Macaca fascicularis: one gene and its partners. The protein of the gene in region 3 interacts with the protein of the main gene of each other region in a pairwise test. Links are inferred from orthologs where the notes say so. Each region holds a gene or a part of one and is shown on either strand. Other genes may lie near its edges.

The links.
Region 1: the proteins of RWDD1 (region 3) and DRG2 interact in binary tests that used the Homo sapiens proteins (3 or more experiments, as listed by UniProt). The link is inferred for Macaca fascicularis from reciprocal best matches to the Homo sapiens genes RWDD1 and DRG2.
Region 2: the proteins of RWDD1 (region 3) and DRG1 interact in binary tests that used the Homo sapiens proteins (3 or more experiments, as listed by UniProt). The two-hybrid records come from large-scale screens. The link is inferred for Macaca fascicularis from reciprocal best matches to the Homo sapiens genes RWDD1 and DRG1.

What each region holds. Positions count from the first base shown.
Region 1 is NC_088390.1:18,202,165-18,209,952, forward strand, and holds the start of DRG2 (developmentally-regulated GTP-binding protein 2), read left to right. Parts: upstream 1-2,773; 5' UTR 2,774-2,867; coding exon 2,868-2,931; intron 2,932-7,788. UniProt on the Homo sapiens protein: Catalyzes the conversion of GTP to GDP through hydrolysis of the gamma-phosphate bond in GTP. When hydroxylated at C-3 of 'Lys-21' by JMJD7, may bind to RNA and play a role in translation.
Region 2 is NC_088384.1:20,206,390-20,214,077, reverse strand, and holds part of DRG1 (developmentally-regulated GTP-binding protein 1), read left to right. Parts: intron 1-1,363; coding exon 1,364-1,533; intron 1,534-5,239; coding exon 5,240-5,370; intron 5,371-7,688. UniProt on the Homo sapiens protein: Catalyzes the conversion of GTP to GDP through hydrolysis of the gamma-phosphate bond in GTP. Appears to have an intrinsic GTPase activity that is stimulated by ZC3H15/DFRP1 binding likely by increasing the affinity for the potassium ions.
Region 3 is NC_088378.1:20,582,521-20,590,308, forward strand, and holds the start of RWDD1 (RWD domain-containing protein 1), read left to right. Parts: upstream 1-3,950; 5' UTR 3,951-4,029; coding exon 4,030-4,102; intron 4,103-5,312; exon of another isoform or gene 5,313-5,440; intron 5,441-6,509; exon of another isoform or gene 6,510-6,623; intron 6,624-7,788. UniProt on the Homo sapiens protein: Protects DRG2 from proteolytic degradation.

The DNA of each region.
Region 1 (7,788 bases), on a different chromosome or scaffold from region 3:
TGTTGGCCAGGCTGGTCTTGAACTCCTGACCTCAGGTGATCCACCCACCTCGGCTTCCCAAAATGCTGGGATTACAGGCGTGAGCCACTGTGCCCAGCCCAGAATGTCTTTTTATAGGTGCTTTTAATTTTTTCAACCAGAATTAACTGGCCATGGTGGCATGTGCCTGTAGTCCTAGCTACTTGGGAGGCTGAGGCTGGAGGATCACTTGAGCTGAGGAGTTCAAGGCTGCAGTTAGTCATGATCATGCCACTACACTCCAGCCTGGGTGATAGAGAGACACCTCATCTCTAAAAAAAGAAAAATAGCCTGTAATTCCAGCACTTTGGGAGGCCAAAGCGGGCAGATCATGAGGTCAGGAGACTGAGGCCATCCTGGCTAACATGGTGAAACCCAGTCTCTACTAAAAATACAAAAATTAGCTGGGCGTGGTGGCAGGCGCCTGTAGTCCCAGCTACTCAGGAAGCTGAGGCAGGAGAATCGCTTGAACCTGGGAGGCAGAGGTTGCAGTGAGCCGAGATTGTGCCACTGCACTCCAGCCTGGGTGATGGAGCAAGACTCCGTCTCAAAAAAAGAAAAAAATATATAAATATAAATAAATAAAAATTTCAACCAGAATCCGGACAAGTTCCACACATGTAACATTTTTTCATTTAGAACAATCCCCCTGCTTATCTCCGGCTACTGTCATTGACAATTTTGATGAACCAAGGCCACCTGCCTTATAAAATGTTCCACTTTCTACATTATCTGATGTTTCCTCATGCCTGAACTCAGTTATAGTATTTTTGGCAAGAATTCTACATAAGAGATGCTGTCAACCAGTCAAGGTGGCTCATGCCTGTAATCCTAGCACTTTGGGAGGCTGAGGTGGGAGGATTGCTTGAGACCAGGAGTTCAAGAGCAGCCTGGGCAACATAGTGAGACCCCATCTCTACAAAAAACTTTTTTTTTTTAATTAGCCAGGCATAATGGTTTGGGCCTGTAGTCACAATTACTCAGGAGGTCTGGGAGGATCACTTGAGCCTGGGAGGTTGAGGTTGCAGTGAGCTGTAGTCAAGCCACTGTACTCTAGCCTAGGCAATAGAGGGAGAGCCTAAGGAAAAAAAAAAAGTCATGAGATGCTGTCTGCTTTACACTGCTTCATATCAGGAGGCATCTGATGGTAGGTGACGCTGAGTTGGAGTACTTAGTTAAGGTGGTATGGGGGGCCAGGTGCAGTGGCTCATGCCTGTAATCCCAGAACTCTGGGAGGCCAAGGCTGGCAGATTCCTTTAGCTCAGAAGTTCAAGACCAGCCTGGGCAACAATGGTGAAACCCCATCTGTACAACATTATACAAAAATCAGCCAGGCGTGGTGGCTGACTTTCTCCCAGACTGAGGAGGTAGGATTACCTGAGCCTGGGAGGTCGAGGCTGCAGTGAGCTGTGATCACGCCACTGCACACCAGCCTAGGTGATCAAGTGAGACCCTGTCTCAAAAAAAAAAAAAAAAACAAATGGTGGTATGGGGATCCACTTTTTTTCTTTTCTTTCTTTCTTTTTTTTTTTTTTTTTGAGACAGGGTCTTGCTTTGTTGCCCATGCTGGAGTGCAGTGGCAGATCTTGGAGATCCATTATGAACTTCTTCAAGCTTGTCCAACCTTAGGTCTGCAGCCACATGTGGTCCAGGACTGCTTTGAATGTGGCCAAACACAAATTCATAAACTTTCTTATAACATTATGAAATTTAGGCGGGGCACAGCGGCTCACCCCTGTAATCCCAGCACCTTGTGAGGCTGAGGCAGGCGGATCACTTGAGGTCAGAAGTTCATGACCAGCCTGGCCAGCTTGGTGAAAACCTGTCTCTACTAAAAATACAAAAATTAGCCAAGCGTGGTGGCATGCGCCTGTAATCCCAGCTACCTGGGAGGCTAAGGCAGGAGAATCACTTGAACCTGGGAGTTGGAGGTTACAGTGAGCCAAGATCGTGCCACTGCACTACAGCCTGGGCGACAAAGTGAGACTCCGTCTCAAAAAAACAAAACAAAGAAAAAAAATTGAACTTTTTTTTTTTTTTTTTGAGATAGAGTTTCCGTCTTGTTGCCCAGGCGGGAGTGCAATGGCACGATCTCCACTCAACGCAACCTCCCACTCCCGGGTTCAAGCAATTCTCCTGCCTCAGCCTCCCGAGTAGCTGGGATTCCAGGCATGCGCCACCACGCCCGGCTAATTTTGTATGTTTAGTAGACACGGGATTTCTCCATGTTGGTCAGGCTGGTCTCGAATTCCCAATCTCAGGTGATCCGCCTGCCTTGGCCTCCCAAAGTGCTGGGATTACAGGCGTGAGCCACCGCGCCCGGCCAAAACATTAACTTTTTTGGCGATTTTTTTAAAGCTCATCAGCTATCATTAGTGTTAGTGTATTTTATGTGTGGCCCAAGACAATTCTTCCAATGTGGCCCAGGGAAGCCAAAAGATTGGACACCTCCATTTATAGTATAAAATGAGAGCCACCAGGCTTTCGACTCAGACCCTTTTCCTTATACTGCCAGTCAGCTGCGCGCAGGGACTCGCAGTTCAGGGTTCATCACCAGCAGATTCCCTCTCTTCCTTGCTTGCTCCGGCCAGCCTAGCCGTGGGCCAGTACAGTATGGCCCGGCCCCGCCCCCGCCCTTCCCAGAGGTCCACAGCCTGGCCGGTCCAGCGGGCGGAACCGATAGTGTCTGGCAACTTGGCTCGCTCGGACTCTGAATCCCGGAGCACCAGGCGCCCACGAGAACGCTGTTCTCCTTGACTTCCGGGCGCACGCTCCTCTGTCGCCGCCGTCAGAGCGGAATTCCCGGTGCCACCGCAGCCGCTGTCTGTGCGCCCAGCTCTGCTGCCGCCATGGGGATCTTAGAGAAGATCTCGGAGATCGAGAAGGAGATCGCTCGGACGCAGAAGAACAAGGGTGAGGGCCGGACGGGCGGGGCCTTCCTTTCTGCCCGCCTCAGTTTTCCTGTCTGTAAAATGGGGGAACAACTCCAGCAGTAATGCTGGGACAAGATCCGAGGCTGCGGAGAAGTTGCCAGACAAGTGCCGAGGCCGGCCTGCGCGCCCAAGGCAGGGCCAGGCGGGAGCGGGTCTCACACCCAGGTCTGACTGCAAACGGCCCCCAAGAGATCTGATCAGTCCTAGACCGTGTGTCCAAGTAGAGTAATCCCAGCTCACAGAGCAAGCATCTGACCCATCTGACCCAGAGAGAGGCAGAGCTAGGGTTCAAACCCCAGTCTCCTGATGGCTGGGCCCGGGGCTTTGGTGGTCTCCCCTGTTGTTTTGGGAAGTACAAGAGGAGACCTCTCAGGAACAGCCTCACTCAGTAGCTGAGAGCCCACTGGAGCAAGGGAATCAGGACTCTGGAGTCTGGAAGGCCTGGGTTTGAACCCCAGGTCCACCACGTACCTTGTGTAAAACACTGGAAAGTCACTTCACTTCTTGGAGCCTCAGTGTCTTCATCTGTAAATGGGGTGATACTTTCCTGCTCCATCTTAGCACACAGCTGAGTTAAATTAGATGGCCTTTACAAAGCACTGGGCACATGGTAAGCACTCAGTATTTAAAGTAAACACCCCAACATAGATAATAGATAATGAAGCCTCAAATCTGGACTTTAGAATGTAAGGGCTGGAGGAGCTCACAGAAGAGAGATTAGGAGAGAATGATGACACTAGGAGGAAGTGGGACTTGAGCTGGTTGTTGGGAGGGTTTCCCAGGTGGGGGCCACTACTGAGACAAAGACATGGGAGTGAGCATGATGTGTTCATGGGACAGTGAGAGCAGTCTAGATCACAAGGTGGGTATGGAAGAGTAATGGGAGAAGCAATTGGCCAGGCTAGTAGCTAGCCATTCAGGCTTGTGGGAGAAGGAAGCAAGCAACACCAGATAGCTGGTCCCAGTGTCTGCCTTCCCTTGGTTCCATTTAGGTTTGAAGGCCGAGGAGTTGAGGGCCCTCTATGACTCATTCCTTCTGTAAATCTTTTTTGTTTGTTTGTTTGTTTGTTTGTTTGTGACAGTCTTGTTCAGTCACCCAGGCTGGAGTGCAGTGGCGCCATCTGGGCTCACCACAACCTCTGCTTCCCAGGTTCAAGCGATTCTCCTGCCTCCGTCTCCAAGTAGCTGGAGGCACGCACCACCACACCCAGCTAATTTTTGTATTTTTTTAGTAGAGAGGAGGTTTCGCCATGTTGTCCAGGCTGGTCTTGAATTCCTAACCTCAGGTAATCCGCCCTCCTCAGCCTCCCAAAGTGCTGGGATTACAGGCGTGAGCCACCATGCCCGGCCGATCTTTCCTGAGCCTTTACTATGTGCTAGGCACTGTGGTTAAAGCAGTGAACACAGCAGGCATATCCCAGCCCTCAGATCTGACCTTCTAGTTGACAGTCTGAAAACTAGAAATAAAATAAATAAAACAATGTCAGCCAGCAGTATGTGCTATGAAGACAAACCAGGGTGATACAGCAGAGTATTAGGGGTGGGGAGGGGCTGGGGATTGGGCCTGCTTAGGTGAAATGATAGAGAAGACCACCATGAGAATGGGGCGTTTCAACTAAGACCTGAATGAGAAGAAGGAACTGGTCATGCAAACATCTGGGAGAAGAGTGTTCCTGGCAGAAAGAACAGCTAATGCAAAGGCCCTGAGGCAGGAACAAACTTGGCTGTTTACAGATCAACAGGACTAGGGTGGGGTGCAGTGATGGGACAGGAGGGGGTCGATCATGCAGAGCCACAGGTCATGGGAAAGACTCTGGGTTGTGTTCTAAGGCAGTGGGAGCTGGTGCAGGGTGCTAAGCAGGGGAGGGGCTATTCTGACTTCTGTCTTAAAAGTTCCCTCTGGGCCGGGCGCGGTGGCTCAAGCCTGTAATCCCAGCACTTTGGGAGGCCGAGACGGGCGGATCACGAGGTCAGGAGATCGAGACCATCCTGGCTAACACGGTGAAACCCCGTCTCTACTAAAAAAAACACAAAAAACTAGCCGGGCGAGGTGGTGGGCGTCTGTAGTCCCAGCTACTCGGGAGGCTGAGGCAGGAGAATGGCGTAAACCCGGGAGGCGGAGCTTGCAGTGAGCTGAGATCCGGCCACTGCACTCCAGCCTGGGCCACAGAGCCAGACTCCGTCTCAAAAAAAAAAAAAAAAAAAAAAACAGTTCCCTCTGGCTGCTGTGTGGAATATTACCTGTAAGGCCCAAGGAAAGTCACAGGGAGGCTAGAGATGCTGCTACTTTGGCTGTGGTAGACAAAGGAGATGTAAAGGTGATTAAGACCTAGTCCTTCCCTTCAGATATGCTCAGAATTTTAGGAGCTGGGATGACAGGAAGGGCCATGTGAACCTGACTGACACTGAATCCTTTTTTTTTTTTTTTTTTTGAGATAGTCTTGCTCTGTTGTCCAGGCTGGAGTGCAGTGGTGTGATCATAGCTCACTGTAATTTCAAACTCCTGCATTCAAGCAATCTTCCCACCTCCACCTCTCGAGTAGCTGGGACTACAGGTGTGCACCACCACACCGGGCTAATTTTTACATATATATTTTTTTTTTCTTTTCCTTTTTTTTTTTTTTTTGTTTTTTTTTGTTTTTTTGAGACAGAGTTTCACTCTTATTGCCCAGGCTGGAGTACAGAGGTGCGATCTCAGCTCACAACCGCCGCCTCCCAGGTTCAAGCGATTCTCCTGCCTCAGCCTCCCAGGTGTGCACCACCACGCCCAGCTAATTTTGTATTTTTAGTAGAGACAGGGTTTCTCCATGTTGGTCAGGCTGGTCTCGGACTCCCGACCTCAGGTGATCCGCCCACTTCGGCTTCCCAAAGTGCTGGGATTACAGGTGTGAGCCACCGCGCCCGGCCAATTGTTACATTTTTTGTAGAGGCACAGTCTCACTGTGTTGCCCAGGGTGGTCTTGACCTCCCAGCCTCAAGCAGTCCTCCCTCCTTGGCGTCCCAAAGTGTTGGAGATTACAGGTGTGAGCCACCATGCCCAGCTGCAGAACCCATTCTTGACCCTTTCTCATTGCTATCAATTCACACATTCACTTGGCAAAATATTTCCTGTGTGCTTGGGCCCTGTGCTGGAAGCTGGGGATCCAGTCCCATTTCCTGACCTACCAGAGTCAGGGAAGTAAAGAAATAAGATAGTTTTCAGACTTCAGAAGACAGTAAACTGGCTCACGAGGCAGGAAGGGGTCTGGGGAAGGACGGAATTTACTGTAGATTATAGCCAACTTTTATTAGGTGCTTACTGTGTGCTAAGCGATGTTCTTAGTGCTTTCTGTAAAACTTCTCCATTATTCCACCATCAAAAATCTGCTGAAGTATGGTCAGGCACAGTGGCTCACGCCTGTAATCCTAGCATTTTGGGAGCCGAAGTGGATGGATCACTTGAGGTCAGGAGTTCGAGACCAACCTGGGCGACATGGTGAAATCCCGTCTCTACTAAAACTACAAAATTGGCCAGGCGTGGTGGCACCAGCCTGTAGTCCCAGCTACTCGGGAGGAGGAAGCAGAAGAATCTCTTGAACCCAGGAGGTGGAGGTTATAGTGAGCCAAGATCACACCTGTGCACTCCAGCCTGACACCAGCAAGACTGTCCGTGGCTCACACCTGTAATCCCAGCATTTTAGGAGGCCGAGGTGGGTGGGTCACCTGACATCAGGAGTTTGAGACCAGCATGGAGAAATTATATATTTTTGATATATATATATAATATATATAATGGGAGAAATCCCATTTCCACTAAAAATACAAAAAATTAGCTGGGCATCATAGTGTGTGCCTGTAGTCCCAGCTACTCGGGAGGCTAAGGTAGGAGAATTGCTTGAACCCTGGTGGTGGAGGTTGCGGTGAGCTGAGATTGCGCCACAGCATTCCAGCCTGGGCGATATAGCGAGACTCCATCTCAAAAAAAAAAAAAAAAGAAAGAAATCTGCCTAAGAAGTTAATACTGTTAATAAACCTATTTGCAGTTTAAGAAACTGATGCACAAGAAAACTAACTTTTCCAAAGTAAAACGGCCCCAGTAATTGCAGGGTGGAGTTCTGACACAAGCTGTCAACCTCTGTAGGACACCACCCTCTGAGACTGGGCAGGGGAGGCCTCTTTGAAGAGGTGACGTTTGAGCTGCACCTCAAATGATGGGAAGGAGCCAGCTCCAGAAAGATCTCTTTGAAATGGAGAGAATCGCCAGTGTGAAGGTCCCAAGGAAGGCATGAGGTCAGCATGTTCTAGAAAAGAAAAAAAAGAAAGGCCAGGCCCAGTGGCTCAACCTGTAATCCCAGCACTTTGAGAGGCTGAGGCAGGAGGATTGCTTATGGCCAGGAGTTCAAGACCTGGGCAACATAGCAACACCTCATCTCTACAAAAGCAATTTTTTAAATTAGCCAGTCCTGGTAGTACATGCCTGTAGTCCTAGTTATTCAGGAGGCTGAGACAGGAGTTCAAGGCTGTAGTGAGCTATAATTGTGCCACTGAACTCTGGTCTGAGTGACAGAATGAAACCCTCATCTCTTTAAAAAAAGAGAGAGGAGAAAGCCACTGTGTCTGGAATGTAACAGAGTGCGTTGAAGTAGCCAGGAGCCAGGTCACATAGGGTCCTGGTTCTCAGTCTCAACCACGGCCTCGTTTTAGAGCAAAGAGTTTGTAACACCATTTACAGTCCTGAAATGAAAGTCCTCATCAGTAATATAATTTCTGTACCCACAGAATTTGAAAAAAAACAATGTAATACCCTAATAATATAAAGGAGAAGAAGAAAAAGGAAAGTAATTTATAATGAAAATGG
Region 2 (7,688 bases), on a different chromosome or scaffold from region 3:
GGGTTCGGGCCATTCTGCTGTCTCAGCCTCCTGAGTAGCTGGGACTACAGGCGCCCGCCACCTCGCCCGGCTAGTTTTTTGTATTTTTTAGTAGAGACGGGGTTTCACCGTGTTAGCCAGGATGGTCTCGATCTCCTGACCTAGTGATCTGCCCGTCTCGGCCTCCCAAAGTGCTGGGATTACAGGCTTGAGCCACCGCGCCCGGCCTGGAAGCAGAATTTTTGACAAATGAATTTTAATATAGAAATAGGCCAGATACTGTGGCTCATGCCTGTAATCTTGGCACTTTGGGAGACCAAGGCAGGAGGATTGCTTGAGGTCAGGAGTTAAAGGCTACAGTGAGCTATGATCATGCCACTGCACTGCAGCCTAGGCAATAGAGTGATACTCTGTCTCAGTCAATATAAATATAAGTATGTATTAATAAAAATAAGATATTCAGGCACAAAATACTACATTTTTTTTTTTTTTGTACAGATTGAATCTTACTTTGTTGCGCAGGCTGGTCTCAAACTCCTGGCTCCAATCAGTCCTTCTGCTGCAACCTCCCAAAGTGCTAGGATTATAGGCAGGAGCCACTGTGCTGTGCCAAAATAATATATTTTATATGATTTCATTTATATGAAATTCTAAAAAGTGCAAACTATGGTGGCAGAAAGCAGATCAGTGGTTGGCTGGGAATAGTGGGGAAGATTGAAAGGAGTTAGTTACAAAGGAATGCTGTAGGTGATGGAAATATTCCGTGTCTTGATTGCTTAGGTGGTTACACAGGTATATACATTTGCCATCGAACTGTGTGCTTTAACATGGATATAATTAAAAAAAAGTTGTACCTCATTAAATTTGGTTTAAAATATGCTAACCAAGGGTGGGCGCAGTGGCTCACGCCTGTAATCCTAGCCCTTTGGGAGGCTGAGGTGGGTGGATTGCCTGAGCTCAGGAGTTCAAGACCAGCCCAGGCAACATGGTGAGGAAATCCCATGTCTACTAAAATACAATTAGCTGGGCATGGTGGCACGTGCCTGTAGTCCCAGCTACTCGGGTGGCTGAGGCAGGAGAATCGCTTGAACCCGAGAGGAAGAGGTTGCAGTAAGCCAAGATTGTGCCACTGCACTCCAGCCTGGGCGACAGAAAATGTATCAACTCTTGGGCAAATATGTGCTGATTTCATGGCATACAAAGCAAATTGACTTCTGGTATAACTCTTTTGTAGCTATAAGAACTTCGTGTATGTATGTATGTATGTATTACAAAAAAATCCTTTGACACTTAAATGTAGGGGGAAAAACACCTCTACTTGAGTATTTGGGTTAGTTAAGGCTTTATTGAACTTTCTTGGGTATGTTTTTTTCTTACTCTTCAGTGGCCCGAACCTGTAACTTGATCTTGATTGTTCTGGATGTCCTGAAACCTTTGGGACATAAGAAGATAATTGAAAATGAGCTGGAAGGCTTTGGCATTCGCTTGAACAGCAAACCCCCCAACATTGGCTTTAAGAAGAAAGACAAGGGAGGCATTAATCTCACAGCCACTGTAAGTGGGGAAGACGACATGGGGCAGGCTGCTGCAGGAATAGGAGTGGGGAGTGGATTAGGGTGCATGGACATTGACATTGGAAAATTTCTTGGCTTTTCCCTGCACTAATTGAGATAGCACAGTGACTTCATAATGACTGACAAGAAAGACTTCAAGATTAGGGTAGGAGCCAGTCTCAGACTTACCTTTGCTGCTTATTTCCTCTTTTGGATTATCTATTGGGGATGATATGGGAGTGTGAACCAATATTATGCTTGCATAAAGTACATGGCCGCCAATGTCTTCTGTTTTCATTCATTTAACACAAATTTATAGAGTGCCTACCATGGGCCAAGCATTATTTTAGGCTCTGAGCAGGAATGGAAGAGGGAATAGTGAAACCCCCTGCTATTTTATTTTCTAGTTGGATAGAATAGCAAATATTAATGAGTAAAATATAATGTATTAGTCAATGATAAATGTGAGAACACAAAGTAGGGAAAGGAGATAGAGTGTTGGTGTGAGGGTTGCGGTTTTAAGAACGTTGGTCAGGGAAGTCTTCACTGAGGTAACATGAAGGTGTGAACCAAGTGGATATCTTGAAGAAGAGCATTTGCTTCATGCAGAGGAAACGTCCAAGTGGAAAGGTACTGAGGCAGGGCATGTCTTCCCATGTTTGAGGAACAGCAGAATGAGCAAGTAAGAGAGTAGTAAGAGATGAAGTCATAACATAGGGACATATGTGCTTTTACTTTACAGGAGATGGGTAACTTGGTTGAGTTCTGACCCACAAACATGATTTGACTTAGGTTTTAGTGGAATAATTCTGACTCTTATGTTGAGAATAGATTGCAGTAGGTTAAGAGCAGAAACAGAAATAATTTAAGAGGTTATTGCAATAACCAAGAAGTGATAGCTTCCTGGACCAGGGTTGTGACAGTGAAGGAGTTGAAAAGTGGTTGGTTGTGGAAAGATTTTGAAATAGCTGATAGTAATTACATCTGGATTGGGTATGCATTGTGAAAGAAAGAGTCAGAGATGCCTGTTTTGTTTTTTGTTTGTTTGTTTGTTTACTTATTTAGAGATGGAGTCTCACTCTGTCTTGCTCTGTCACCCACGCTGGAGTGCAGTGGCGCGATCCTGGCGCACTGCGACCTCTGCCGACCAAGTTCAAGAGATTCTTCTGCCTCAGCCTCCTGAGTAGCTGGGATTACAGGTGCCTGCCATTGTGCCCGGCTAATTCTTGTATTTTTAGTAGAGACGGGGTTTTACCATGTCGGCCAGCCTGGTTGATCTCATTCTGTCGCTTAGGCTGGAGTACAGTGGTACAATCACTGTTAGCTCAAACTCCTGGGCTCAAGTGACCCTCCTGCCTCAGCCTTCTAAGTAGCTAGGGCTATAGTCACATGCCTCCAGGCTTGGCTTTTTTTTTTTTTTTTTTTTTGGTAGAAACGGAGATTTGCCATGTTGCCCAGGTTGATCTTGAACTTTTGGCCTCAAACTATCCTCCTGCTTTGGTCTCCCAAAGTGTTGGGATTACAGGTGTGAGCCACCATACCCAGCCACTTTTTTTTTTTTTTTTTTGTCCTGAGCTAAAAAAAAAAAATGAACTCTTATTACTAAAATGGTAGGACTTTTGGTAGAGTAGGTTTGGAGGGAAGGAGAAGATCAGGATGTTAAGTTTTAGATGCCAGTTAGACATCTAGGTGTTTCTGTCAAGAAGGCATGTGGGGTAGGTTGGGCACAGTGGCTCATGACTGTACATCTATAATCCCAGCACTTTGGGAGGTTGAGGCAGGAGGATCACTTGAGCCCAGGAGTTCAAAACCAGCTTGGACAACAAAGTGAGACCCCATCTCTACTAAAAAAAAAAAAAAGGCATGAGGAATTACTTAGGCTGCATGAGGAATTACCTAGACTGGATATATAAATTTGGTGATTATCAACTTTAATGTCATGGACCTAACTGAGATCACCAAGGATGTGAGTATAGATAGAAAAGAAAAGAGAGTCAGGCGCGGTGGCTCATGCCTGTAATCCCAGCACTTTGGGAGGCCAAGGCGGGCAGATCACAAGGTCAAGAGATCGAGGCCGGGCGCGGTGGCTCAAGCCTGTAATCCCAGCACTTTGGGAGGCCGAGACGGGCGGATCAGGAGGTCAGGAGATCGAGACCATCCTGGCTAACACGGTGAAACCCCGTCTCTACTAAAAAATACAAAAAACTAGCCGGGCGAGGTGGCGGGCGCCTGTAGTCCCAGCTACTCGGGAGGCTGAGGCAGGAGAATGGCGTAAACCCGGGAGGCGGAGCTTGCAGTGAGCCGAGATCGCGCCACTGCACTCCAGCCTGGGTGACAGAGCCAGACTCCGTCTCAAAAAAAAAAAAAAAAAAAAAAAAAAATCGAGACCATCCTGGCCAACATGGTGAAACCCTGTCTCTATTAAAAACACAAAAATTAGCTGAGCATGGTGGCACACGCCTGTAATCTCAGCTGCTCAGGAGGTTGAGGCAGGAGAATCGCTTGAACCTGGGAGGAGGAGGTTGCAGTGAGCCGAGATCACACCACTGCACTCCAGCCTGGCAACAGAGTGGGACTCCATCTCAAAAAAAAAAAAAAAAGAAAAGAAAAAAGAAAAGAGAATCGGCCAGACACAGTGGCTGATGCTGAGGCTGAAGTGGGCAGATTACCTGAGGTCAGGAGTTGGAGACCAGCTACAAAAATTAGTCAGGCATGGTGGCACGCGCCTGTAATCCTAGCTACTTGGGAGACTGAGGCAGGAGAATCGCTTGAACCCAGGAGGTGGAGGTTGCAGTGAGCTGAGATTGCGCCATTGCACTCCAGCCTGGGCACCAAGAGAGAAACTCCGTCTCAAAAAAAAAAAAAGAAAAAAAGAAAAGAGACTCAAAGAGATAAGACTTCTTAGACAAAGAGAGAGAAGGAAAACTGAAAGAGTTTGAAATGCTGGAAGCCAAGTAAAGTGTTTCAGATAAGAGTGACCAGTTCTGTCAAATGCTGCTTCTCTGTCAGAATTGAGGACTGAGACTTTCCTACTAAATTTAACACTCCAGATGATTTGACTGGCATAGGTTTAAGCTGTCTTGCCCAAAACATCTTTCCCATTATCCTGTCTTAATGTTCGAATTTGAACATTTAAGATTATTTCTGTGTTAGTTTGCCAGGGCTGCCATAATATGGTACCACAGATGGGGTGGCTTAAATAACAAATTTATTTTTCATAATTCTAGAGGCTGGAAGTCTGAGATCAAGGTGATGGCAGGGTTGGTTTCTTCTGAGGCTTCTGTCCTTGGTTTACAGATATGACTTCATCTGGTGTTTGCTCTGTGTTTCTGTGTCCTAATCTCCTTTTCTCATTAGTACCACCAGTATTGGATTAGGGCCCCACTCTAATGACCTTATTTTAATTTGATTACCGCTTTAAAGACTCTTATCTCCAAATACAGTCACATTCTGAGATACTGAGATTAGGACTTCAACATATGAATTATTTTGTGGGGGAAGGAGGAACACAGTTCAGCGTGTAACACCTTCCTTGGAGTTTGAACATTTATTTCCTACTAAAAGTCAGTGACACTCATCCCGGATGTCTTTAGTAATGAGTTTGCATCTTAGCTAGAATTTTCCAGGTACATGGATATTGGTACACTTGGCAAGTATTTTTTTTTTTTAAATTTTGTGCTGACCAGTCATCTGCTATTCCCTTTCAGTGCCCCCAGAGTGAGCTAGATGCTGAAACTGTGAAGAGCATTCTGGCCGAATACAAGATTCATAATGCTGATGTGACTCTACGTAGTGATGCTACAGCTGATGACCTCATTGATGTGGTGGAAGGAAACAGGTACTGACTGAGTGTGCAGTCTGTGCCTGACTGGATTGGAAGCCTTGTGATGGAAACAGTATTGGATCTTGAATTTGGCAGAAGTTTATCTTAATTCCAGTTGTCCTACTATTTTTTTTTTTTTTTTTGAGATGGAGTCTCACTCTGTTGCCCAGGCTGGAATGCAGCAGCATGATCTCAGCTCACTGCAACCTTCACCTCCCAGATTCAAGAGATTCTCCTGCCTTAGCCTCCCGAGTAGCTGGGATTACAGGTGTGTACCACCATGCCCAGCTAATTTTTGTATTTTTAGTAGAGGTGGGGTTTCATCATGTTGGCCAGGCTGGTCTTGAACTCCTGACCTCAAGTGATCCGCCTGCCTCGGCCTCCCAAAATGTTGGGATTATAGGCGTGAGCCACTGTGTTCAGCCTGTGCTACTATCTTAAATGATAGTGGGCTTTGGTTTCTTTCTTTCTTTTTTTTTTTTTGAGGTGGAGTTTTGCTCTTGTTACCCAGGCTGGAGTGCAATGGCTCAATCTCAGCTCACTGCAACCTCTGCTTCCCGGATTCAAGCGATTCTCCTCCCTCAGCCTTTCTGAGTAGCTGGGATTACAGGCATGTGCCACCATGCCTGGCTAATTTTGTGTTTTTAGTAGAGATGGGGTTTCTCTATGTTGGTCAGGCTGGTATTGAACTCCCAACCTCAGGTGATCCACCCCACCTTGGTCTCCCAAAGTGCTGGAATTACAGGTGTGAGCCACTGTGCCCGGCCTTTTTTTTGTTTGTTTTTTTGAGATGGAGTCTCACTCTGTCACCCAGGCTGGAGTGCAATGGTGTGATCTCAGCTCATTGTAACCTCCACCTCCCAGGTTCAAGCGATTCTCCTGCCTCAGCCTCCCGAGTAGCGGGGATTACAGGTGTGCACCACCATGCACAGCTAATTTTGTATTTGTAGTAGAGATGGGGTTTCATTATGTTGGCCAGACTGGTCTTGAACTCCTCACCTCAAGTGATCCGCCTGCCTTGGCCTACCAAAATGTTAGGATTACAGACATGAGCCACTGCGTCCAGCCTGTGCTACTATCTTAAATGATAGTGGACTTTGTTTTTTTTTTTTTTTTTTTGTGAGACAAGTGTCTCACTCTGTTACCCAGGTTGGAGTATAGTGGCATGATCTTGGCTCACTGCAACCTCCACCTCCTGGGTTCAAGCGATTCTTTTGCCTCAGCCTCCTGAGTAGCTCGGATTACAGGTGCCTGCCACCACGTCTGGCTAATCTTTTGTATTTTCAGTAGAGATGGGGTTTCACCATGTTGGCCAGGCTGTTCTTGAACTCCTGACCTCAGGTGATCTACCTGCCTCAGTTTCCCAAAGTGCTGGGATTACAAGTATGAGCCGCTGTGCCTGGCCCCCGCCCCCTGGTTTTGTGTTTTTTTTTTTTTGGAGTCTTGCTCGGTCGCCCAGGCTGGAGTGCAGTGGCATGATCTTGGCTCACTGCAACCTCTGCCGCCAGGGTTCAAGCACTTCCACTGCCTCATCCTCCCGAGTAGCTGGGACTACAGGCGTCCGCCACCACACCTGGCTAATTTTTGTATTTTTAGTAGAGATGGGGTTTCTCCATGTTAGCCAGGCTGGTCTCTAACCTCAGGCAGTCTGCCTGCCTCTGCCTCCCAAAGTGCTGGAATTACAGGCATGAGCCACCATGCCTGCTGGCTTTGGTTTCTTTAGCTCTAAACTGAGGGATTCGTTTTGATTTCTGACATCCTTCCTTGCTTTTAAATTTAATTGTGATGGTCATATTCCCCATTTCAGTTTTTTTCTTTTACAGCCTCCTCCTATGAAATTCTCCATTTCAGTTACTTGCTGTAAACTAAGCTGCCCCCTAATCTTTGTCATGTGATAGTTGAAGAGAGTAGTAGGTGAGTCTGCTCTTCCAGAATTAATCCACCTGAGAAGTTCTATAGGCTGTGTCCTACAGAAGTCTGAGCCGGCCAGGCTGTGTTTGTTTTCTCCATCCTAAGAGTATGTAGCTGAGTATCTATTTCATGATACATTACTTTTTTTTTTTTTTTTGAGACAGGGTCACGCTCTTGTCGCCCAGGCTGTAGTGCAGTGGTGTGATCACGGCTCACCACAGCCTTGAACTCCGGGCTCAATCCATCCTCCCACCTCAAACTCCTGAGTAGCTGGGACTATGGCCGTGTACCACCAAGCCAAGCTAATTTTTGTATTTTTTATAGAGATGTTGTTTCCTCACCTTGCCAAGACTGGTCTTGAACTCCTGGGCTCAAGCAATCTGCCTGCCTTGGCCTCCCAACGTGTTGGGATTATAGGCATA
Region 3 (7,788 bases):
CCTTACATGCCAAAATACAATAGTAAACAAAATTTCTACTCTCATGGAACTTACATTCTACTAGAGGGAGAAAGAGTATGAACATAATAAATAGTGTAATTTTAAAGTAGCATGGGAAAAATAAAATGAGTTAAAGAGGATAGGTAGTGCTAGGAGGGTTGTGATTTTAAGTAGGGTGGTCTAGTTGGGGTAACCCCATTTAGAAAGTGACCTTTGAGGAAAGACTTGAAGGAAGTGAGGGGGTGACACATATGGGTATGGGAGGAACAGCATTCCAGACAAAGGGAACAGCAAGTGCAAAGACCTTAGGAGGAAATCCTGCCTTGCATGCTTGAGGAACAGCAAAGAGGCTAGTATGGCTGGAGTAATGGAATAGAAGAAGAGAGACCTGAGTGAGCACACTCAGCCGCCTCGCCATGTGATGGCCTGTGCTACCTCAGTACTCTGCAGAGTCCCCACATGCAAGAAGGTCCCACCAAATGTCCCCCTTGACCTTGGAATTCCAATACTCCAGAACTGTAAGAAATAAAATTACCCAGTTTCGGGTATTCTGTTATAAGCTTAGTCCAGAAAATGGACTAAGACACAGAAAGAAGAGCTGTGAGGATGAGGATCAGGAAGCCAGATTCTAGGACCTATATTATAAATACATGGTTTTAATCTGAGATGAGGATGGGGCAGTTATGAGCAAAGGAGTGATATGGACTGGTTTACATTGTAACAGAACCACTCTGGCTTCTGTGTTGACTCAGAGTAGATTGTAGGCCAGGGAACTGAGTTAGGCTGGAAAGTATTACTAAGATTCACTACCCTTGAAGAGATATCTACTCAGGTGAGCACACAAAACTAAAATTTTATATGGCTCTTTGTGCTTGTGACTGGTAAAGTCTTTGAGATACCTGAGTAAATGAAACATTAGCCACATGAACTGTTTAATAATTAAAATTAAGCATGAAATAGGGAATTCTCAACACTGAGCTTCTGATAGTGTGATTGCTAGAAAACTCACAGGCACAGAGAAGTAAAAATAAACATCAAAGTAATTTTTAAAGGCTTATAGTATTAGTAAAGAGCAACTACTAATTTGTATTACCTGCAGAAGAAACTAAGAAGAATACAAATAAGATGAATCTCTTAGGGACATACTTCATTAGCAATAAAGATGAACAGAGAATAGCAATGCTTTATAAGATGATATATGAATTTAATTATCAGGAAATAATGTTGATATGGAGTTTACAAACATGCTTATAATTATTTCATGTCATCTGAATTATCTTATAAGCTTACGTATCTTGCAAATGACTAAGGCTGAGTTTATTACTTCTGGTTCCAGATCCTATGATGACTATCATAGTCAGTTCTCACGCTGCAATGAAGAAATAACTGAGACTGGGTAATTTATAAAGGAAAGACTTTTAATTGACTCATAGTTCTGCATGGATGAGAAGGCCTCAGGAAACTTATAATCATGGCAGAAGAGGAAGCAAACACACCTTTTTTTTTTTTTCACATGGCTGCAGGAAGAAGACCGAGTGCCCAGGGAAGAAGGAAGCCCCTTATAAAACCATCAGATCTCGTAAGAACTCACTATCACAAGGACAGGATGGGAAGAATCGGCCCCGTGATTCAATTATCTCCACCTAGTCCCTCCCGTGACACGTGGGGATTATGGGAACTACAATTCAAGATGACATTCAGGTGGGGACACGGCCAAACCATATCAATGGCTCACACCGTTTGCCTACCTGCAGAGCTTAAAACACACTTGGTCTATAACATCTTTAACTACCAATTAAAAACGAAACACTAAAAGAAAGTCAATTTGCCTCATGAGAATTTTCCACAATTTCAGTTAAGGGACTTGCTGTGTTCTGTTAAGCATGTGTTATGGTCAAAATGAAATTAGAGATCCACTAAAAAATGCTTAATAATGCATATGTAGGTATGACAAAGATTTGCAGATGTTTTTCCTTGATTACGAGAGCCATCTCCAGTATCAAAGTAACACTCTTGAGCATTCTGAAGCATGTAGGGTTTATTTACAGTGATACATAAGGTTTGAAAAGGATGCTTTACCAAAAGTTTTGTTAATGAAATAGGAATGCAAATAAAGAGGTACTACATTTACTAGATTGTAATTGGCAACCAAAAGTAACCTTTTTCTAACGTAAACCTTGTTATGTTTGTTGCTTTGCTGCATCTCATTTCTTTTGGTAGGTTGTTTTTATTATTCTGTTAGGAGAAAAAACTTAATTTTGCTTGATTTTCTTTGATCTAGGAGTCATTTAAAGATGTAATGCCATCTTCCTTGCCAAATTTGATTCTGTCTTCCTCACTTATTTCGGTCAACAGAACTTCATCTTTCCAGTTCTTGTAGCCAAAAATCAGCCTTGACACCCCCCTTAGAACTTATGCACTAGTGTTTCCTCTGGCAGCTCTTTCCTTATAACAAATCATTATAATTCCTCTGAACTGAAGCGATCCAAAAAAAAAAAAAAAAATGAGCAACTTATAATTGCAAAGTTACTTTATGTATTTTATTTGATTCTCATCATAGTTAGGAGACTCCACTCTTTTCCTTAAAGTTTAAAAGAATGCCTGAAATCAACCCTTAATACCGTAAACACATAATGAGTACCAAAGCGTTCCTCTGTCATAGGTAAGCAGCACTCCTCAATAAAAGATCAAGGTGCCTTCTGGTCCATGGGACATCACCATTTCAACAAGAGAAAACTTCAGAGGCTTCATTAGGAAGCTTTCGTTTAAAAAGTGTTCCTCCCACTATACAAGTGAAACCAGCTTTAATACAGAGAAATCAAAACAAAGAAAAATAAAGTGGGGAACAGCTTTTGAGTATTTTCTTAAAATTTTCCATTTTTTCGACTTTGCACAATATTATAATAAAGGAACATGGGATCCTTTATTATTGTTACCACAGTTGTTTAATATTCTTTTCATAAAGTTAACCATGTTTATTTAGCCATTTTCTTAGCTTTTGCCATCATGGCACTTTGAAAATTTTCTTTGTAATTGCTGCAATGACCTTGGAGATCACAGATGCATACTACCTGCTCAAGTTTATTCTTGGAAGTGGTATTACCAAATTAAAGGTTCTCAATATTTCCTGGGGTACTGCAATTTTTAATTGCATATTAAAACTGTTATTACTGAGATCGACATTCCTCTCACCAATTCACAAATACACAGTCACGGACATCTTGAGATCTATAAAACGTCAAGCCGCGTTCATTTCACAAATTCACAAGTTAAACCTAAAGATCTGAACCGAGAAGCCGGACCTAGGGTCTATTTCTCCCCCCCGGATCCACCCCGACTTATTAAGCAGTTAGGTCGACCCTTCCGTGCTCATTCAAGGCAGTGCAGAGCTTTTGTTCCCCCGCCCAGTGGAATCTACCCTGGTCCCAGCCCCTCGTCCAACTCCCGTGGGACGCCACGCAATACGGAGTTCAAGAAGCGCAGAAATCTCCTGACCCCCACTAGTCCACACTAGGTAGCAAGACCGCAGCACCTACGCCACAGGGTCAAATCGGAAACCAGAAAAGGCACCCGATGCCCGTCGCCCAGTCTCGGCCACCAGCGACGCTTTCTTTCCCTGGCGCACGATGCCGGCCTTTCAGCCCAGACTCATCGAGCGAGGATGCCGCGCTGAGAAGCTTCTAAGGCTCAGGGCCTGCAAAGCCCAGCAGCCGGCTGTAGGTGTCCTTAGCAAATGCCAGACCGCGCGCACCGTCCCAGCAAGTCCCGAGCGAGTGTGGGACAGGCAGCAAATCAGTGCCCCCCTGGCCAGGCAGAACTAGTCGAACTTGGAAGTAGAGAGCAGGCGGAGGCCGGCGCTTAACTGTAGCTAAGCAGGCCGGGTCTGGCTTTGGGCCCTGGGCCTTCCAGCCGGGGACTCTGCGCCTGCGCCCGCCTGGCCGCCGCCCGCTCTCCCGGCGCTGCAGCTGTCTGGGCTGCTGCGCGCCGCCTAGGTGTCTGGGCAATCCATGGGCAAGAGCAAGAGCCACGATGACAGATTACGGCGAGGAGCAGCGCAACGAGCTGGAGGCTCTGGAGTCCATCTACCCTGACTCCTTCACAGGTGACTTCCGCGGCCGCAAGCCTGCAGCCGCCCCAAGGTGGAGTGGGACGGGCAGGAGCCGCCGCAGCTCTGGGCCTCCTAGGCTGGGGTGGAGAAGGGGACCGTGAGGCCGCGCGGCCACCTTGCCCTCCACTCTTCTCAAGTTCTTCAGTCACTTACCAGCAACCCAGTGACTTTTTCCCCCTTCTCTGCTTGTCCCTGAAATCTAAAAGTCCGGGTGATGCTGGAAGGTGTCAGGCCTGAAAATTGAGTCGGGGTTACTTTGGTTTCTGTGTAACCTACAGCAACCTGAGATTTATAATACATTAAGAGAAAAGATACTCCAAGTGAGATTCGTTTTTCCACAGCTGCAAGGATGTTAGTTTTCACATTTTCACCTTTATTAAGGTAGAAACTGTTTTTCATACGATGCTGTTTTAGTTTATGGGATTCAGAGTACTGTTCTCAGTTACTCAGATAGGTTTTGAGAGTAGTATAGTCCCTGAAGTCTGTCGGGTTTCTTTTCTTACGAGAAAAAAAAAAAAAAAATCTAGCATTCAGTAGAATGCCTAATGGATAATGTGGCCCAAATTTTCGTTCCGCTATAAATTCATAGGTTGTTAGATTGGAAGGGAGGTTAGACATCATCTAGCCTGGGGATCCTGCTACAAGTCAAGGTCTTGGGGGCTCAGGAAAGCTAAGTGGCTTGCTCTGGACTGTACGCCAGCGAGTTAGCGGCAGGGCTGGTACTAAGAGTTACGTCCGGAACGCCTGCCTGTTCTTTCACCTTCCAGACATATGGGACTTGGGATTCAGCTCCAGCTGAGATTGGGGAGAGCAGAAGATTACTTGATAGGTTGGGCTAATGTAAAATATTGTAATGAGAAGTTCATTAGGTATAATTTAGAGGATGAGATTTCTCTATTAAGCCATGCTTCGGATGATTATAAAAATGCTACATAACTATATCAATATGGCTCCTCTGAGATTTGAGAAGCGGCCAAATAAAGCCAATATGAGTGAGTAGAAACTAGGTGTGTGCATTTACATTCGCCATCCTTTCCTTTGAGTGTTGCCTATGGTTGATAGTCAGAATTTATTGTGGAAGGTATATTACTTTAACTCATAAACTCCAACCCCTCCCCCTTTCATCGTTTAGCTTAGTTTTCTTGGTTCCACCTTTTGATCACTGCTTGCAATGGTAGCAAATTTTGTTCTGCTTTGCCAACAGGCAGATGTCTCTCAGCTATCCCTGTATAGCTCCAGTCCTGTTCATGTTCTCTCTCACCAGCAGTACATCTGTGCTGTGAGGATGTTAAGGGGATGAGTGAAGAGGGGTTTGAGAGTGTCATTAACTGGGTGAGTGTGTATGGAGTCTGGCTCCCTTCTCTATCCTTGCTTATATGTCTGTGTCTAAAATAGAATATAGGGTCAGTTGTTGGATATATTCTTAATCATGTTTGGTCATTTCCAGAACTTTGGAAACATAATAGATATGAACACTGTAGGCAGAGTCAAGAAAGCAGGATATGCTATTCTTTTCATTTCTTTGGACATAAGCTATCCCTCACTAAATTCTATGCATATAAGCATTTATAAAACTGATACCTTTTTTTTGGTTTTTAACCCTGAAATAATCTTGTGGGTATTTCAAATTGTACTAGGCCCTGACAGCTCTGGTATAGTTCACTATGTGAAATTCTTATCAGATGCCCAAGTGCTTGAGGATTCTGAGCCAGGGTAATAAAAGACAATTATGAATCTTTTGATGCATTCAGGTATTCTGCACTATCAGATAAGCCATCTGTCTGTAACTCCTGTCAACAGTTCTACAAGCTTTGCAATAAATAAATTAAAATGAGATGTCTTTATTTATAGTTCTTAGGGAACGTTGCCTTCCTAGTGATCAAGTTCTTTATGAAACCTCTTGGGGAAAAGGCAGAGGATTTTGAAATAAAATGTTTCCATGTCTGATCTTTTAAAATCTTGGAGATTTGCAAGATTTGCTGTTTTAAAGCCTTCTTTTGTATTTATGATTCCATACTTTTGTATTCTCATGCCAGGTTTAAGAAAGAGATCTTGCTTGTGTCAGTTGGCCAAGGAACACTAAATGAGGTTTTGTAACTTCATTTTGAATCACATTTAATTATTAAATTTGGTTAATACTCAATGCTATTGATGAAGGAAATATACTTTTTTTTTTTAAATGGACGACTGAGTGCCTGACAAAGAAGCATTTGTTAAGTACACGTAACCCCATGTGAATGCTGAAGAGGCACAGTCCAGCCCATAGACGTAGGCACATAGATTTAGCGTAACCTCAGAATTAATTGCTTTGACTATTTGCAAAGTACTTTTGGTCCAGTGTTGCATTTGTTGTGGTTATAACAAATCATAATACAATTTCTTCTTTTTGCCTATTCTGTAGCTTGATTGCACATTGATCCAACCCTCCTAACAACTAGTCTTCCAAAATATAAATGGACTCTCCTGATACCACATTCTCCTTCAGTAGTTCTTCACTTGACAAGGTCCTGCTAAGGTAGTAGAATTTGGTTATTTCAATTTATGTATTGAAATCTCTGGCTGTGGGGAGTTTTATTGAAACAAATTTGTTGGCATCAGGTTAACCAAAAGCCAAGTTTCCTTAATTCTGTTTGCCTTACAAAGAGGAGTACATAATCCTGTATTTCTTTATCAGTACCTCTAAGCAGCAGCCATTCACATTTAACAGTTATAATTGTATCTTGAGATAGGTAAGAAGTCATCTTGTAAAAGCAGTTTGTTCTAAGTCATACTTTTTGAAAGGTCAGACACTCCCTAACAACCAGAGGTGCTTATTTTAATATGGGCTCTCTCATATTTTGTGGAAACTAAAGGTGATTTGTGTATCTCTTAATGTACCTTTTAGCTTCTACCTCTTTATCCCTGTTTTTGACAAATCTTTAATTCTATCAGTTTCACCACCATCTGTCCCCTAACGTCTCTCTGCCCTTCCTCTATGGCCAACAGCTAACTTTCTTCCTTCCTTCCTTTCCTTCCTTCCCTTCCTTCCCTTCCTTCCCTCCTTCCCTCCTTCCTTCTCTCCTCTCTTTCTTTCCCTTCCTTTCTTTTTTCTTTCTTTCTTTCTTTCTTTCTTTCTTTCTTTCTTTCTTTCTTTCTTTCTTTCTTTCTTTCTTTCTTTTCTTTTCTTTTCTTTTCTTTTCTTTTTTCTCTTTCTTTCCTTTCTTTTTTCTTTCTCTTTTCTTTTTCTTTTTTTCCTTTCTTTCTCTCTCTCCTTCCTTCCTTTCTTCCCCTTTCCTTTCCTTACCCTTTCCTTTCCTTTCCCTCTCCTCTCTTCTCCCCTCTTCTCCCCTCCCCTCTCCCCTCTCTCCTCTCCCTCTCCTTTTTGAGACAAGGTCTCACTCTGTCACCCAGGCTGAAGCACAGTGCCCCAGTCAGCTCACTGGAGCCATGGACCTCTGGACTCAAGTGATCTTCCCACCTCAGCCTCCAGAGTAGCTGGGATTACAGGCTCGCAGTACCATGCCTGGCTAATTTTTGCATTTTTTGTATCAGCAGAGGTCTTACTCTGTTGCCCAGGCTAGTCTTGAACTCTTGGCCTCAAGGAAGTCTCCCACCTCCGACTCCCAAAGGGCTGGGATTATAGGCGTGAGCCACTGCATCTGGCCCAGCTTACTCTTTTTCTCAATTTTTTTCTTTTTTTT